Cricetulus griseus: one gene and its partner. The protein of the gene in region 1 interacts with the protein of each later gene in a pairwise test. Links are inferred from orthologs where the notes say so. Each region holds a gene or a part of one and is shown on either strand. Other genes may lie near its edges.

Region 1 (6,987 bases):
AACATTGTTATTAATGCTATTAAGTAACTGTATTATTAATTTTACAAAACTTAGTTTTTTCTTTGAGTCTTAGGAACTACACTCTGCCTGACACATACTAAGCATGCACCTGCAAATCTGCAACCCTGTAGGTTCTGTCCAGCTTGTCTGTTTTGTGTGTGTGGTGCTAGGGATCAAACCCAGGGTTTTGTGCATGCTAGGCAAGCACGTTACCAGTAAACTACATTCTGGGCCCTTTCTAAGTTTTGGGTTTTTTTGTTTTGTTTTGTTACTCAACACGTTTTCTCTGTGTAACAACCTTGGCTGTTCTAGAACTCCCTGTAGACCAGGCTGGCCTTGAACTCAAGAGACCCACCTGCCTCTGCTTCCTGAGTGCTGGGATTAAAGGTGTGCAACCACCACCCAGCTCTCCTGAGGATTTTTTTTTTGTTTTTTGTTTTTGTTTTTTTAACTTCAGCTGGTTGAACCTGTAGAGCTCATGTGTAAAGTTAGCTAACTATATTTACAATTACAACCAATTTTAATAAATATTAAATATTAGTAGTATTAGTAATATTAAGTAGCAAACAGGTCAGCAATATATCATTAGGTATTTGTTTTAACAACCAATAAATTCTCCTGTCAATCTGTGATTTTTCTCTTTGTGTGGTGCTGAGGATGGGGCCTAAGAAGCTTACATGCTAGGCAGTACTCTACCACTGAACTATATTACCAACCTGCAGGCCCCATATACTGGCTATTTTATTCAAGAGCTTTGAAAAACAGTACTATTATCTCTATTTTACAAATGAAGAAGCTGAAGCAAAAACATTGTATGCCCAAGGCTGGAGAGATGGCTGGGGTTAAGAGCACCAACTGCTCTTCCAGAGGTCCTGAGTTCAATTCCCAGCACCCACATGGTGGCTCACAACCATCCGTTATGAGATCTGGTGCCCTCTTCTGGTGTGCAGATATACATGGAAGCAGAATGTTGTATACATAATAAATAAAATCTAAAAGAAATTCCCTTCCTTTAAAAAAAAAAAAAAAAAAAGACTATGCCCATCATTAAGTAATGACTGCATCAACAGTCGAACTCAGGTGTTAAGACCTCTCTTCTGTGGGTCACTGCCCTTGGGCTTCTGCCAGCTCCCATCTGACAGGGATGGGAGTGTCTGGTTAGGAATACTCCCTCAAAGACATTCAGGGATCCAGGAGAGAGGCAAAGAACTATTACTTTTAACAGATACATGTAAACATTTCTATTATTTAAGTAAACTAATATTTAAATATTGAGTTTTTACTTCTATTAAGTACTAATATAACCTATGGACTGCAGAAATAAAAGCTTTTTGAGATTCCCCAAGAGCTTTTTAAAATATAAAATATACAAAAACCTGTGCATAGTGACACATGTCTGTAATCCCAGCATTTAGAAGGCTGAAACCACAAGTTTTAAGGTCTAGGCAACATAGCAAGTCCTATGTCAGTTTTGGCTATATACTAAATATGTAAAACAAAATAAAGATATAAAAATTTGTGGGGCTGTTAAGATGGCTGATAATGGTAATGGATAAGCATTATGACCCAAGTTTAGTCCAAGCTCGACTGTCCACAACAATCCCACAAATTGTCCCCTGCTCTCTATGCTTGTGCGCGTACACTAGAACACCAACACACACACACACACACAAAACAAAAACTCATCTCGAAAAAACAAAACTTTTCCAGTTGGGTGTAGAGATGCACTCCTTTAAAAGAACTCGGGAGTAGAGGCAGGTGAGACTTTTTGAGTCTGAGGCCTAACAATCTAGTCCTTATAAGAATTTTCATGGCTAGGTTCTTCGATGAGACTAAAGAGACCAAAATATCATCTTTGCCTTTTCATATAGCCACCCAGAGCATACTATCTCTTTATTTCTTAGAGAGAGAGAGAGAATGCAGAAACCTATGGAGATCAGAGGTGCAAGATCCCCCTGAGTTTTAGGTGGTTATGAGCTGCCATGTAGGTGCTGGGAACCAAACTCAGGTCCTCTGCAAAAAACAGTACACAGTCTTAACTGCTAAGCCATCTCTCCAGTTCCCTAAGAACACTTTCACAAAACAGCATATGTAATTCTAATATAGTCATTTTTAGGCACCTACTTGTATGCCCCTAATTATTTTGGTGTTTCTTAAACTTAACAAGTATTGGTAATGGCAAAGCACTTTCCTATTATACACCCAACACAAGAAAAAAATTAATTATCCTTTGATACAGAACACAATCTTAAAATTATTAGCTTAAATGTTTTCTACCTGTTTAAACATGATACCCACTTTATGGGTGCTGAAGGTCAAATATGGGACTTAATGCATACTACACAAGCAGCAAGCACTCTACCAACTTAACTACATTCCCAACAGTTTTTCCCTTTGTTTTTTTTTTTTGTTTTGGTTTTTCAAGACAGGGTTTCTATGTGTAACACCCTAGCTGTCCTGGAACTTGCTATGTAGACCAGATTCAAGAGATCTGCCTGTCTCTGCCTCCCGAGTACTGCTGAGACTAAAGGCGTGCGCCGCCGCCACCACCACCTGGCCTGAACAGTTTTCTTAAAATATGTGTGTGTGTGCACATCAGTTATTGTCTGTGTGAGTAAATGTACAGAGGGCAGAAGAGGGCAGCAGTGGAAGCCTCAGATCTGAGTTACAGGCAGCCACTGGAAGCTAAGCTAGTTGGTGGCACTGGGATCTGCACCACCACCCTCATGATTGTGCAGCACATACTCTTAGCCACTGAGTTATCTCTGAGGTCCCAGTTATTACTTTATATAGAAAAAAAATCTTGCCAGGCATGATGGTATATACCTTTAAAGCCAGCAGCTGGAAGGCAGAGACAGACAAATCTCCTTAGGTCACCCTGACCTACATATAGAGTTCCAGACCAGCCAAGGCTACACAGTACGACTTTTTTAAAAAAAATAAAGGGGAGGCTGAAGAGATGGCTCAGCTGTTAAAAGCACTGGCTGCTCTTCCAGAGGACCCAGGTTCAATTCCCAGCACCCATATCACAGCTCACAACTGTCTGTAATTCCAAGATCTGACACCCTCACACAGACATACATTCAGATAAAATACCAATGCAAATAAAATAAAAAATTGCTTAAAAAAATAAAGGACCAAGGTTCACTTCCCAACGCCCACATGACAACTCACAACTGCCTCTAACTCCAGTTCCAGGGGACCTAACACCCGAAATACAGACATACATATGCAGGTAAAACACCAATGCATATGGAATAAAAATAAAGTAAAAGAAAAATATTCAAAAAGTTGCATTAAAAGCCAGGTGTTGGTGGTGCACGCCTTTAATCCCAGCACTCGGAAGGCAGAGGCAGGCGGATCTCTGTGAGTTTGAGACCAGCCTGGTCTACAAGAGCTAGTTCCAGGATAACCTCCAAAGCCACAGAGAAACCCTGTCTCGAAAAACCAAAAAAAAAAGTTGAAATTACTTCAGGGTATGGTATTTGTGTAAGCTAAAGCAATATACAAAATCTGACTGCCAAAACATACAAGATAAAAGATAATTCCTGTTTAAAACATTCACTCAAGTAAAACAATGTTTCTTACCTACTGTTTTCCACAGCCTTCATAGCATACTCAACTTGAAAGACTCTTCCATCAGGAGAGAACGTAGAGGCTGACAGGTCATACTGACAACAAAGAGAGCAACAGAGTTTATAGGACATGTCTTCGCCAACAACAGTCATATAATTTTTTCCAAACAGCTCAAACACCAGGAATGTTATATCCTAGTGGAAAATGCTTTGTTGCTCAGAGATAACTACACACCTTAGATGTCTCCTACTGAAAAGTAATGGGTCTAAATAACAAGAGATATGGCTCAGCTGTTAAGAGTACCTGTTTCTGTTGCAGAGGATATGGGTTGGGTTCCCAGAACTCACATGATGGTTTAGAACCATCTGTAATTCCAGTTCCAGGGGATCCAAAGCCCTCTCCTGGCCTCCATTTGGCATGTAGAGGATCCACATACATACACGTAACATAAAATATCTAAAAAGGAAGTTTAAATAATGGATACAAATCTAATTTGAGCTAATAAAAAAATTACAAAAATGAATACAAACCTTAAGGTCAGAACTTTTTTTATTTTTAAGATTTTATTATATATACAACATTCTGCTTCCATGTACATCTGCACACCAGAAGAGGGCACCAGATCTCATAACGGATGGTTGTGAGCCACCATGTGGATGCTAGGAATTGAACTCAGGACCTCTGGAAGAGCAGTTGGTGCTCTTAACCTCTGAGCCATCTCTCCAGCCCCAAGGTCAGAACTTTTTTACACAACTTTTTTTTTTTTTTTTTAAAGTATTGCTGCTGGATATGGTGGCACAGGCCTTTAATTCCAGCACTCACTCAGGAGGCAGAAGCAGCCAGATGTCTGAGTTGGAAGCCAGCCTGGTATACAAAGTGAATTCCAGCCTGAGTTCAGGGCTGTTATCGAGAAACCCTGTCTCAAAAAAAGGAGTATTGTATAAATATTAAAGTCAGATCATTTACATTTGTATCTAAGCCAGGAACCAAGGAAAGACCCTGGTTAAATAAATCATTTAGTATTCATCAACATTTAATGAGCACATACTGTGCTCATACTGTGGAAGGAATAAGCATAGCCCAAGCCAAGGAACTGGTGTCTTTTAAGTGGAGGAGGAACAAGCAAGAGTGAGTAAATCTAAAACATGCTAGAGAGCCAAACTAGGTTGGGGAAGGTAGTTTACATTTTATTCTTGATGTGAATGAGGAGGTGGTGTGATCTACTTCACATTGTTTACATTTACCTATAGTGCATGTGCCCTGGTGTACATCGAGAGGTCAGGGGACAACTTTCCAGAGTCAGCTCTCTTCCTACCATGTGGGACCTGGGAACTGAACTCAGCATTTCAGGGATTGAACTCAGCTGTTCCAAGTCTTGGTAGCAAGCACCTTTAACCTTTACCAAGTGAGCCATTTCACAGGCCCAAATTCAAGCATTTAAAAAAAAAAAAAAAAAAAAAAAAAAAAAAAAAACAACCCGGGTGTTGGTGGCGCATGCCTTTAATCCAGCTTTCGGGAGACAGAGGCAAGCGGATCTCTGTGAGTTCCAGACCAGCCTGGTCTACAAGAGCTAGTTCCAGGATAGGCTCCAAAGCCACAGAGAAACCCTGTTTCAAAAAAAAAAAAAAAAATCTGACTTGGGCTGAAACAAAAAAAATCACTCTGACTTGGGCTGAAACAAATTTAGAGGCAACAAGTGTGAGCTCACAATAGTGGCTTTGACTATACAATAAAGAAGGAACTAACCTTTGGGGACACAATTAAACATAAAAACAAAAATAAAAAAGCACTTGTAGAGCTAGGAATGGAACTCACCTAGATTTGGAACTCAGTGACTTGCCCTGGGTTGGCCTTTCCTTCTGCCCAGCAGTAGAGGTTAGAGGGGGGAAAAAAAAACCCAAATGGACAGAAATTTACAACTCTTGAGGGACACAACTCTTGAGGGACCTGAAGCCAGGAAAGAGGCCTTCAACAGTGAAACTTCCTAAGGCTTGGTTATTACTTTCATACTAAATATTCCACATGGAATATCAGATGACCATCGATGTTTGGACGGCAACCCTGACACAACTGCAAAGCAAATTTACTGTGAGGTGCATTACTAAGCACTAATCCCAACAAACGTTATCACATGACATTACTACTTCAGTACCTCGTAACCAATTAAATCATTCCAAACACCAGTAAGTAGATTTAATTCTGAGCATAGAAAAAAAGTTTTTTAAAGACGAGGTCTCTTTATGTTGTCCTGGAACCCACTGTGTAGACCAGGTTGGCCTGGAAATCAGAGATCCTCCTGCCTCTATCTCCCAAGTGCTGTGATTAAGGGTGTGCGCCACCACATCAGGCGAACATCAAAATCATGGAAATAAGGATAACCAAGAAAACCTATTACTCATTACCTCTACTGCAGATAATCAACAGATATCCGTTAAGTAGTTAACATATGGAGACAAAGGAAAGGTGGAGGAAATCACTGCACACGGGATGTGTTTAGCAAATTAAAAAGCCCAACTTGCAAATCTTCAAAACTCTTCACAAAAATCTGAGGCACTGCGGTCCCTAGATAACCCTTGCCAAAAATAATTCGTTCGGGAAAAGCAAACGAAGGAAAAGGCAAAGAACTCATGCGATCGAGCCTTTGAGGTCCTGTCACGATAGGTGTCCGGGGACTGCCTGGTGACGTGAGGCCCCAAGAGGCCCGTGAGTCAGCGGCACCGCAGCACCCGCACGGGCGGGCCACACGACGGGCTCCAGAGCCACCCAGACGCAGCAAGCAGCAGGGGCTCGCCTGGGGTGGGGGGGCGCGAATGCTCGCACTAGGGCAGGCCGCACCAGTTTTCACTTTCGGTTTCTTCAAGCAGCGGAAGAAAGTGACTCAGCAACCCTGGTTTTGGCTGCACTGGGGCGGCCACAACGGGCCCGAAACGCCGCCGAAGCCGGGGTCACCGAGATGAGGGCCTGGGACGCGGCGGAGGCCACGGGTCCCCAGGACTCAGGCAGCGCCCGGGCTCCAGCGGCCGGTCCCCCCCGCACTCCGTTCAACGCCGGCCGGAGAAGGCGGCGCGGAGAGACTCACCCCGGTCCCAATGGAGCTCATGGTGCCAACTCCGGAGGCCGCGCAGAGCTTCCAGGCCCGAAGTGCCGCTCCTACGCCGCTCACTGCGTAGCCTAGTAACAGGCTCGCCCATTGGCTGCGCTGTCCACCAATAGCCTTTGCTTTTGCGGCTCTTTCCGCGGGCTACGCAGAGGATTGTAGGAAAAGGAGAGGGCGAGCTGGAGACGCGCATGCGCAGAAGCCAGAGAGGCGGATCCTTGGAGAGGCTGGTGAAACTGTAACTGTCACTGTTTACTAGGAGATCTAAGGTCATTGCCTGCTCCCTGATAGTCCTAACGAGCTAACTAGGCTTG
Region 2 (6,987 bases), on another chromosome or scaffold:
CCAGCCCTCCCGTTTCTCCATAACATATTCTATTTCCTGTTCTTAGAGATCCTCTCCTAACCCCTAGCTGTTTACAAGGTACCTAACCTTTGTGCTTATTCAAACTGTAGCACACATCAAAAGCTTAAAAGCTAACATCCACAAATAAGAGAAAACAATCTTTGTCTTTTTGGGCCTGGGTTACCCCACTCGGAATAATTTTTTTCCTAGTTCTATTCATTCACCTGTAGTGTCGTAGTGTAAAAATATCACATTTCCGTTATCCATTCATCAGTTGATGGACATCTAGGCTGTTTTTAATTCTATTATGAATGGTCATGGATGAGTAAGTGTCCCTGTAGTAGGATGTAGAGTCCTTTGGGTATATGCCCAAGAGTGATATAGCAGGATCTTGAGGTGCATCCATCTCCAGCTTCCTGAGGAACTGTTCTACTGATTTCCATAGTGGCTGTACAAGTTTGCGCTCCCACCAGCAAGGAATAAGTGCTTTCCTTTCCCCTGATCCTCAACAGCATGTGCTGCTATTTGTTTTATTGATTTTTGTTGTTGTTGTTTTTGTTTTTCAAAAGACAGGGTTTCTCTGTGGCTTTGGAGGCTGTCCTGGAACTAGCTCTCATAGACCAGGCTGGTCTCGAACTCCTCCTGCCTCTGCCTCCTTAGTGCTGGGATTAAAGGTGTGCACCACCAATGCCTGGCTTGTTTTATTGACCTTGTTAGCTAGTTTTTCCACCAATTTGTTTTGAGTACTGTTGCCTTTCCAGAGTGGCAGAATGTAGTGCCTTCACGTGAGGCTGAGCTACCATCACTTCATACATCTTAGTCTTCTGCCTACTCCACCTGTCTCCTATAGCAAACATTCCACAACAGACAGTAGTTCCATTACATAACTCCTTTCCTGTGCTCCCCTTCCCACTGTCTGCTCTTCTAAGCAATATGGCTAAGTCTTGTGGCCCACACTCCTGCAGCCCAGCTTGCCTTGAACTCAAGATGTTTCTGCCTGAGCCTCCCTAGTGCTAGGATTCAGGCATGAGGCACCATACACCTGACCCCCACCCCCAACAAGCTTTATTTCTTGTATGTTCAGAGCAGACACATAATTTTTTATCCACAAGATATAGCTGATTATGAGATGTAGGCAACTAGCAGCCCAGCAGCCCAAGTTAAATCCCTGGGTCCCACATGGTAGAAAAGGAGGGAACTTGTCCTTCAACTTCCACGTAAGAGCCATGGTGTGAGAGCAAACATGGAACACACTCAAAATAAATGAACAATTTTTTTTGAGTTGGTTCTCTGCTCCTCTCTGTTCCAGATGTTCTCATAGTTTCACCACCACCAACTGATTAAATGTTTATTTAAAAAGAACTACATAATAGTCCATATATAGGATGGTGCTATGGTTTGAACCTTTGATGTCCCCAAACAGTTATGTTCTGGGGTTTGATTACTAGCTGATGGGTTTGGGGCAAGTGACTGGCTCCTGAGGACTTTGACCAAATTGTGGATTTTCTTAAAATTACAATTTATTAGAATATAATAAAGAAATAGACTTAATTGTGGCATTTTCAAACATGTATACCATTACACTTTTTTAAATTCATGTGCATGTGTACAGCCACAAAAAGGTCAGATCCCATGGTTGTGAATTTGCCTAACCTGAGTTCTTTGGAACCAAATCTGAGTTCTTAAGTGCTGAGTCCAGCCCCATAATGCTTTGTTCTATTCACCCCACTCCTCCCTAGCTTCCTCTGTCCCCTTATGCAAAACTTTCAAATTTAAGTTGGACACAGCAGCCCAACAGGAGGAAGAGAGTCCCATGAGCAGGCAAAGGTTTTACTTGCATCACTGTGTGTCCTGGAACGTGATTTGTAGTCCAAGATGTCCCAGACTTATGGTGATTCTCCTGACTCAGCCCCCTGAGTGCATGGACCAACATGCCAAGCTAACTTGGGGTTTTTGGCTTCATAATGTTACCAAAGTATAACCACTACTTTTTACTCTCAAAACAGTATTCAAAAACATGAAATATTTAAGACTTTATTATAAAATATACTTTGTGCTACATAATTTTTCTGAATTTTAAGATAGGCTAGACTAAACATGTTTCACGGATTAATGCATTTTTGACTTACGGTATTTTAAAACATTTGGCAAATTGAAAGAAATCAGACTCTATGGCTCCTTAAAATTCTGACTGTGTATATGTGTGCCACATCCATGCCTAGTGCTACGGATGGTTGTAAGCACCATGTGGTATACTGTGAACTGAACTCCTGGTTCTCTGGAAAAACAGCCCTGCTCAGCCATCTCTCCAGTACTGTGTTTTTTTTGTTGTTGTTTTATATATGTTTTGTCTGCACATATGTGCACCACATGTGTGCATGGTTTTGCCTGTGGAGGTCAGAAGACAGGTCAGATTCCTTAGAACGGGATTTGGGGATGGTTGTGAGCAACCCTCCCTCCCCCCAACACATACACAAATATACAAACAACAGAGACAAAAATGAAGAAAGCAGTCTAAAGGGCAGAGGGAGACAGTACCCTCCTAGAGTGGGCCCGCACCCAAGGGTGAGCTGCGACCTGGGCCAGGGGCAGCCGATCTGAGGGTTTATGCTTGAGCAGCTTGGAGATGAGGTCCTGGGCCCCCTCAGGTACAGAAGGAGGGAACTTCAGGTCCACCTGCAGAGGAAGAAAAGAGAAAGGTTTCACCTGTGTTACCCTGACTACATTTTCCTTGACAACTCAAGAGATTTTTGCAACCCCCAAAGGAGGCATTATTAACAATGGATGGCTGCTGAGGGAAAGAAAGGAAGTCATTTTCCTTTGGGAGTGTGGGTACAGGTAGGTTGCTGGCAGCACTAGCTGGTCTCAGGGGGCTATAAAAAGAAAAAGGACATGACGGTGGGTGGGGCATGTGTTGGGAAAGGAGTCGGGGTGGGTGATCAAGGTGCATTTGTATGAAGTTGTCAGAGAATAAGTACTGCTCATGAAATAGGGAGACTGTGCAGAGCCCTATAAATCTACCCTGCCCACCCCAGACCCTGGCTTCCACAGCACACAGAGCCCAGGCAGGTATCCTACCTTGACAATCCGACGGTATGTCTCACTGTGGCTAGGGCTCTCAAAGGGTGGGTTCCCCACCATCAGTTCATAGCAGAGCACCCCGATGCACCACAGGTCTACCATTTCGTTATGCATGCGCCCCTCAATCATCTCTGGGGGCAGATAGTCCAGGGTGCCACACATGGTCTTCCTCCTGATGGGATGAGAAGTGGGTAGGGCCTCGAAAAAATCAGCCTCTCTTTTCTCTTTACTTGATAGTAGGCAGCTCAGAGATCCCAGGAAGGTCTGGCCACACTAATGGATTATCTTAATTTTTTGTTTTTTTGAGACAGAGTTTCTTTGTGTATAGCTTTGGAGACTGTCCTGGAGACTGTCCTGGAACTAACTCTGTAGATCAGGCTGGCCTCAAACTCAGAGATCTGCCTGCCTCTGCCTCCCAAGTGCTGGGACTAAAGGTGTGCATCACCACCGCCCAGCTATCTTAATCTCAATAAGTAAAAAATAAATAAAAACAATCAGAGATGAGGGCAATGCTCATTTCAAAGAAGAAACAGAAAACATCTCTAATATCCACCGAATATACACTACTTAAATAAGTCGGTTTATATTTTTACTGTGCAATACCAAGAAGTGTTAAACAATGATCAGGTCACCAGATACTGTGATATACACCTCTAATCCCAATCCTTGGCAAGATTTTTGTTTTGTTAATATTGATACAGGTTCTCTCTATAATACAGCCTTGGCTGGCCTGGAACTCACTAAGTAGACCAGACTGGACTTAACCTCAGAGAGATCCACCTTCCATTGCCTCACTAGGGCTGGACTGAAAGGAATAAGCCACTACCTCTGGCTTAATTGGACATTTGAGGTAAATTGTCAGTCTGAGGCCAGGTAGGCCTACAGGGTAAAATCTTGTCTAAAAACTGTAAAGAGAGCCGGGCGTTGGTGGTGCATGCCTTTAATCCCAGCACTTGGGAGGCAGAGGCAGGCGGATCTCTGTGAGTTCGAGGCCAGCGTGGTCTCCAGCTTGAGTGCCAGGATAGGCTCCAAAGCTACACAGAGAAACCCTGTCTCAAAAAACCAAAAAAAAAAAAGCCCAAACAAACAAACAAACAAAACTGTGAAGAGGAGGTCTGGAGAGATTTGTCGGTGGTTAAGAGCACTGATTGCAGGACCAAGGTTCAATTCCCAGCACCCACATGGCAGCTTACAATTATCTGTAACTCCAAGATCTGACACCCTCACACAGACATGCATGCAGACAAAACACCAATGCACATAAATTATTAAAAAGAAGAGGCCAAGCAATAGTAAGCACACCTTTAATCCCAGCACTCAGGAAGAAGCAGAGGCGGGTGGATCTCTTTGAGTTTGAGGCCGCCAGCCTGGTCTACAAAGTGAGTTCCAGTATAGCCAGGGCTACTCAGAGAAACGCTGTCTCAAAAAAAACCAAACAGTTAAAAAACTGGGAAGCGGTTCTGAGGGATGTGGCTCAGTGAAAGAGCATTTTCCTAACATAGGCAATGCCCTGGGTTCCATCCTCAACACTAAAACCAAACCAAATCAAATAAAATGTGACCTTGGTAACCAGGCATGTCAGCGTATGCCTGTGATACCAGATACTCATTTGCACCTGGGCCTTTAAAAACAGCCCGGGGAACTCGGTGAGGCCGTATCTCCTTAGAATGAACAGGGTCGGCAGGGGTAAACTTGACATGGTGATGCTTGCCTGTAACTCAGCTATGTTTGGAGGGTGATCAGAAATTTAAGGTTATCTTTGGCTATATAGTGAGTTTGAAGTCATTCTGTGCTACATAGGACCCTGTTTCAATCAATCAATCAATCAATCAATCAATCAATCAATCAATCATGTGGGAGTTTCCACAATGATATGGTAAGAGAGGGCCCACTATATTTCATAGAAAGAGTAGAAAATTTAGAGCATGAATTATTGTGTTACCTATTTTTGTAAAGACTTTGCTACATCTATATTGCATGGAGACAAACCCCATCTCAAGGAACAACTTGCAGAAGAGCTGTATATCACAGCCTCACACGAGGGACAGCCCCCGAGCCCCACCATACCTCAGGGAGGGAGCATGCACAGACCAGCCAAAGTCCGCAATCTTCAGTTCGCCCTGGAGACCTAACAGCAGGTTCTCAGGTTTTATGTCCCTGTGAATCACCTTCTTCTTGTGGCAGTACATCAGTGCATCCGACAGCTCCTCCATGATCTACGAGAGTTCATAGCAGAAGGTCAAACAGGCCTCCACTTCCAGCAATAGCCACAGCCTCATGCCCCACACCGGATCCTGACCGTGGCTGTCCGCTGCTCATCGAAAGTTCTGTTCTTCTGTAGTTCCTTGTAGAGTTCCCCCCTCGGGGCATATTCCAGTATCAAGTAGATCCTACGCCGGTCATAGAAGTAGTTGTAGAGCCGAAGAATGTTGGGATGTCTGGGGCAAAGAGAAAGGAAGCTTCGGCTTGCATCTAGGAGACAGGACAGATGGCAAAGACCTAGATCAGGGTGGAAGTATAAGGAAGAGCTGGGTAGGTGGTCCAGATGGTGTAAGACAGGGCTGGGGATGCAGAAATAGGAATGTGGGGTGATGAGGTTGGCAGAGGGGCCAGGGCCAGGGGTGAGTAGCATACTGCAGGTGTGCCTGGATTTCGATCTCTCGGCGCAGCTGGTGCTCCACTCCCTCCTTCTCAATCTGAGACTTGAAGAGGATCTTGAGTGCCACGATGAAATGACTTTTTTTCTCCCGAGCCAAGTACACATTTCCAAATTTGCCTTTGCCCAGAGGACGCCCAATCTCAAAGTCGTCAATAGTGAGGGACCGCCTGATTAATAAAGTGGGGGGAAGGCAGCTAGCTCAGGGCTGGCTGGCTCAGATTCTAAGGTGTTTGATTTCTCTCTATCTGTGTTCCCTTTAATTTCCCCATTTCAGCCTCACCACAGTTTAAGTTCCCCGACTTACTCTGGGGTACTTACAAGGCATTGGAGCCCCGACTGACATTTTCAGCCAACTTCTGGCCAGGGGCAGCTAAGGAGAGAGCAGGCATGTTGAGTTCCTCTTTGACATTCTCGCCTTATACCCTCTCTTGGATTCTGGTCCCCTTGGGCCAGTCCTCTCCCCATTGTCCCAGGTACCTGTGGACTGGCCATTGGACCGGTTCATGAGGGCAAGTGCAGATGTCACAGCAGACTCCTTCTGCAGGACTCTCTGGGGCAGGGTGTTCAGGCCTGAATGAGACTGAGGAAAAAAGGGAAGCTCTGAGTGTGTTCTTGTCCCTGTGGTCTAGCTGGAATGTGCTATAAGCACCGTTTCAGCTACTTGTTAAAGAGTCCATCCATCCACTCACAGTTCAAACAATAGTGATACACCATGGTTTGACTACCTAGCCCCAGAGGTCTGCTCATTGCTCCAGAAGAAATGGGTTATTAAGAAACAACCTGAGGCTGGGCGTTGGTGGCGCATGCCTTTAATCCCAGCACTCAGGAGGCAGAGGCAGGCGGATCGCTGTGAGTTCAAGGCCAGCCTGAACTCCAGAGCGAGTGCCAGGATAGGCTCCAAAGCTACACAGAGAAACCCTGTCTCCTGGCACACATCAGTAACCCCAGCACTTAGGAGGTGGAGGCCCTTGATCAGGAGTTCAAGACAATCCTCAACAGTCAGTTCAAGGCCAGTGTGAGCTAAATAAGGCCTTGTTTTAACATCACCCTCATCCTCCCCACAAAACATCAACAAACAAACAAAGTAAAGGAATGAATGAAGAAAGCAATCGAAGACAAGGGAGAAGATGCCCTCTGACACCTAACAATTCACCTGGCCCTGGCCCACACCACCTGCTCAAGCACAGCACCGTCCAATCTGGATAGCTCTACACCACATTCATCCAGGCTCACATAAGAGCTCGAGC

Evidence for each region. The genes of interacting proteins can lie anywhere in the genome.
Region 2: the proteins of Psma3 (region 1) and Aurkb interact in a two-hybrid assay, tested with the Homo sapiens proteins (2 studies listed by BioGRID and IntAct). The link is inferred for Cricetulus griseus from reciprocal best matches to the Homo sapiens genes PSMA3 and AURKB.

Annotation. Positions count from the first base shown.
Region 1 is NC_048598.1:132,402,916-132,409,902, forward strand, and holds the start of Psma3 (proteasome subunit alpha type-3), read right to left. Parts: upstream 4,030-6,987; 5' UTR 4,015-4,029; coding exon 3,880-4,014; intron 3,672-3,879; coding exon 3,589-3,671; intron 1-3,588. UniProt on the Homo sapiens protein: Component of the 20S core proteasome complex involved in the proteolytic degradation of most intracellular proteins. This complex plays numerous essential roles within the cell by associating with different regulatory particles.
Region 2 is NC_048600.1:82,923,469-82,930,455, reverse strand, and holds the end of Aurkb (aurora kinase B), read right to left. Parts: exon of another isoform or gene 6,894-6,987; intron 6,321-6,893; coding exon 6,218-6,320; intron 6,111-6,217; coding exon 6,059-6,110; intron 5,908-6,058; coding exon 5,716-5,907; intron 5,554-5,715; coding exon of another isoform or gene 5,520-5,553; coding exon 5,381-5,519; coding exon of another isoform or gene 5,368-5,380; intron 5,298-5,367; coding exon 5,149-5,297; intron 3,254-5,148; coding exon 3,079-3,253; intron 2,677-3,078; coding exon 2,515-2,676; 3' UTR 2,019-2,514; downstream 1-2,018. UniProt on the Homo sapiens protein: Serine/threonine-protein kinase component of the chromosomal passenger complex (CPC), a complex that acts as a key regulator of mitosis.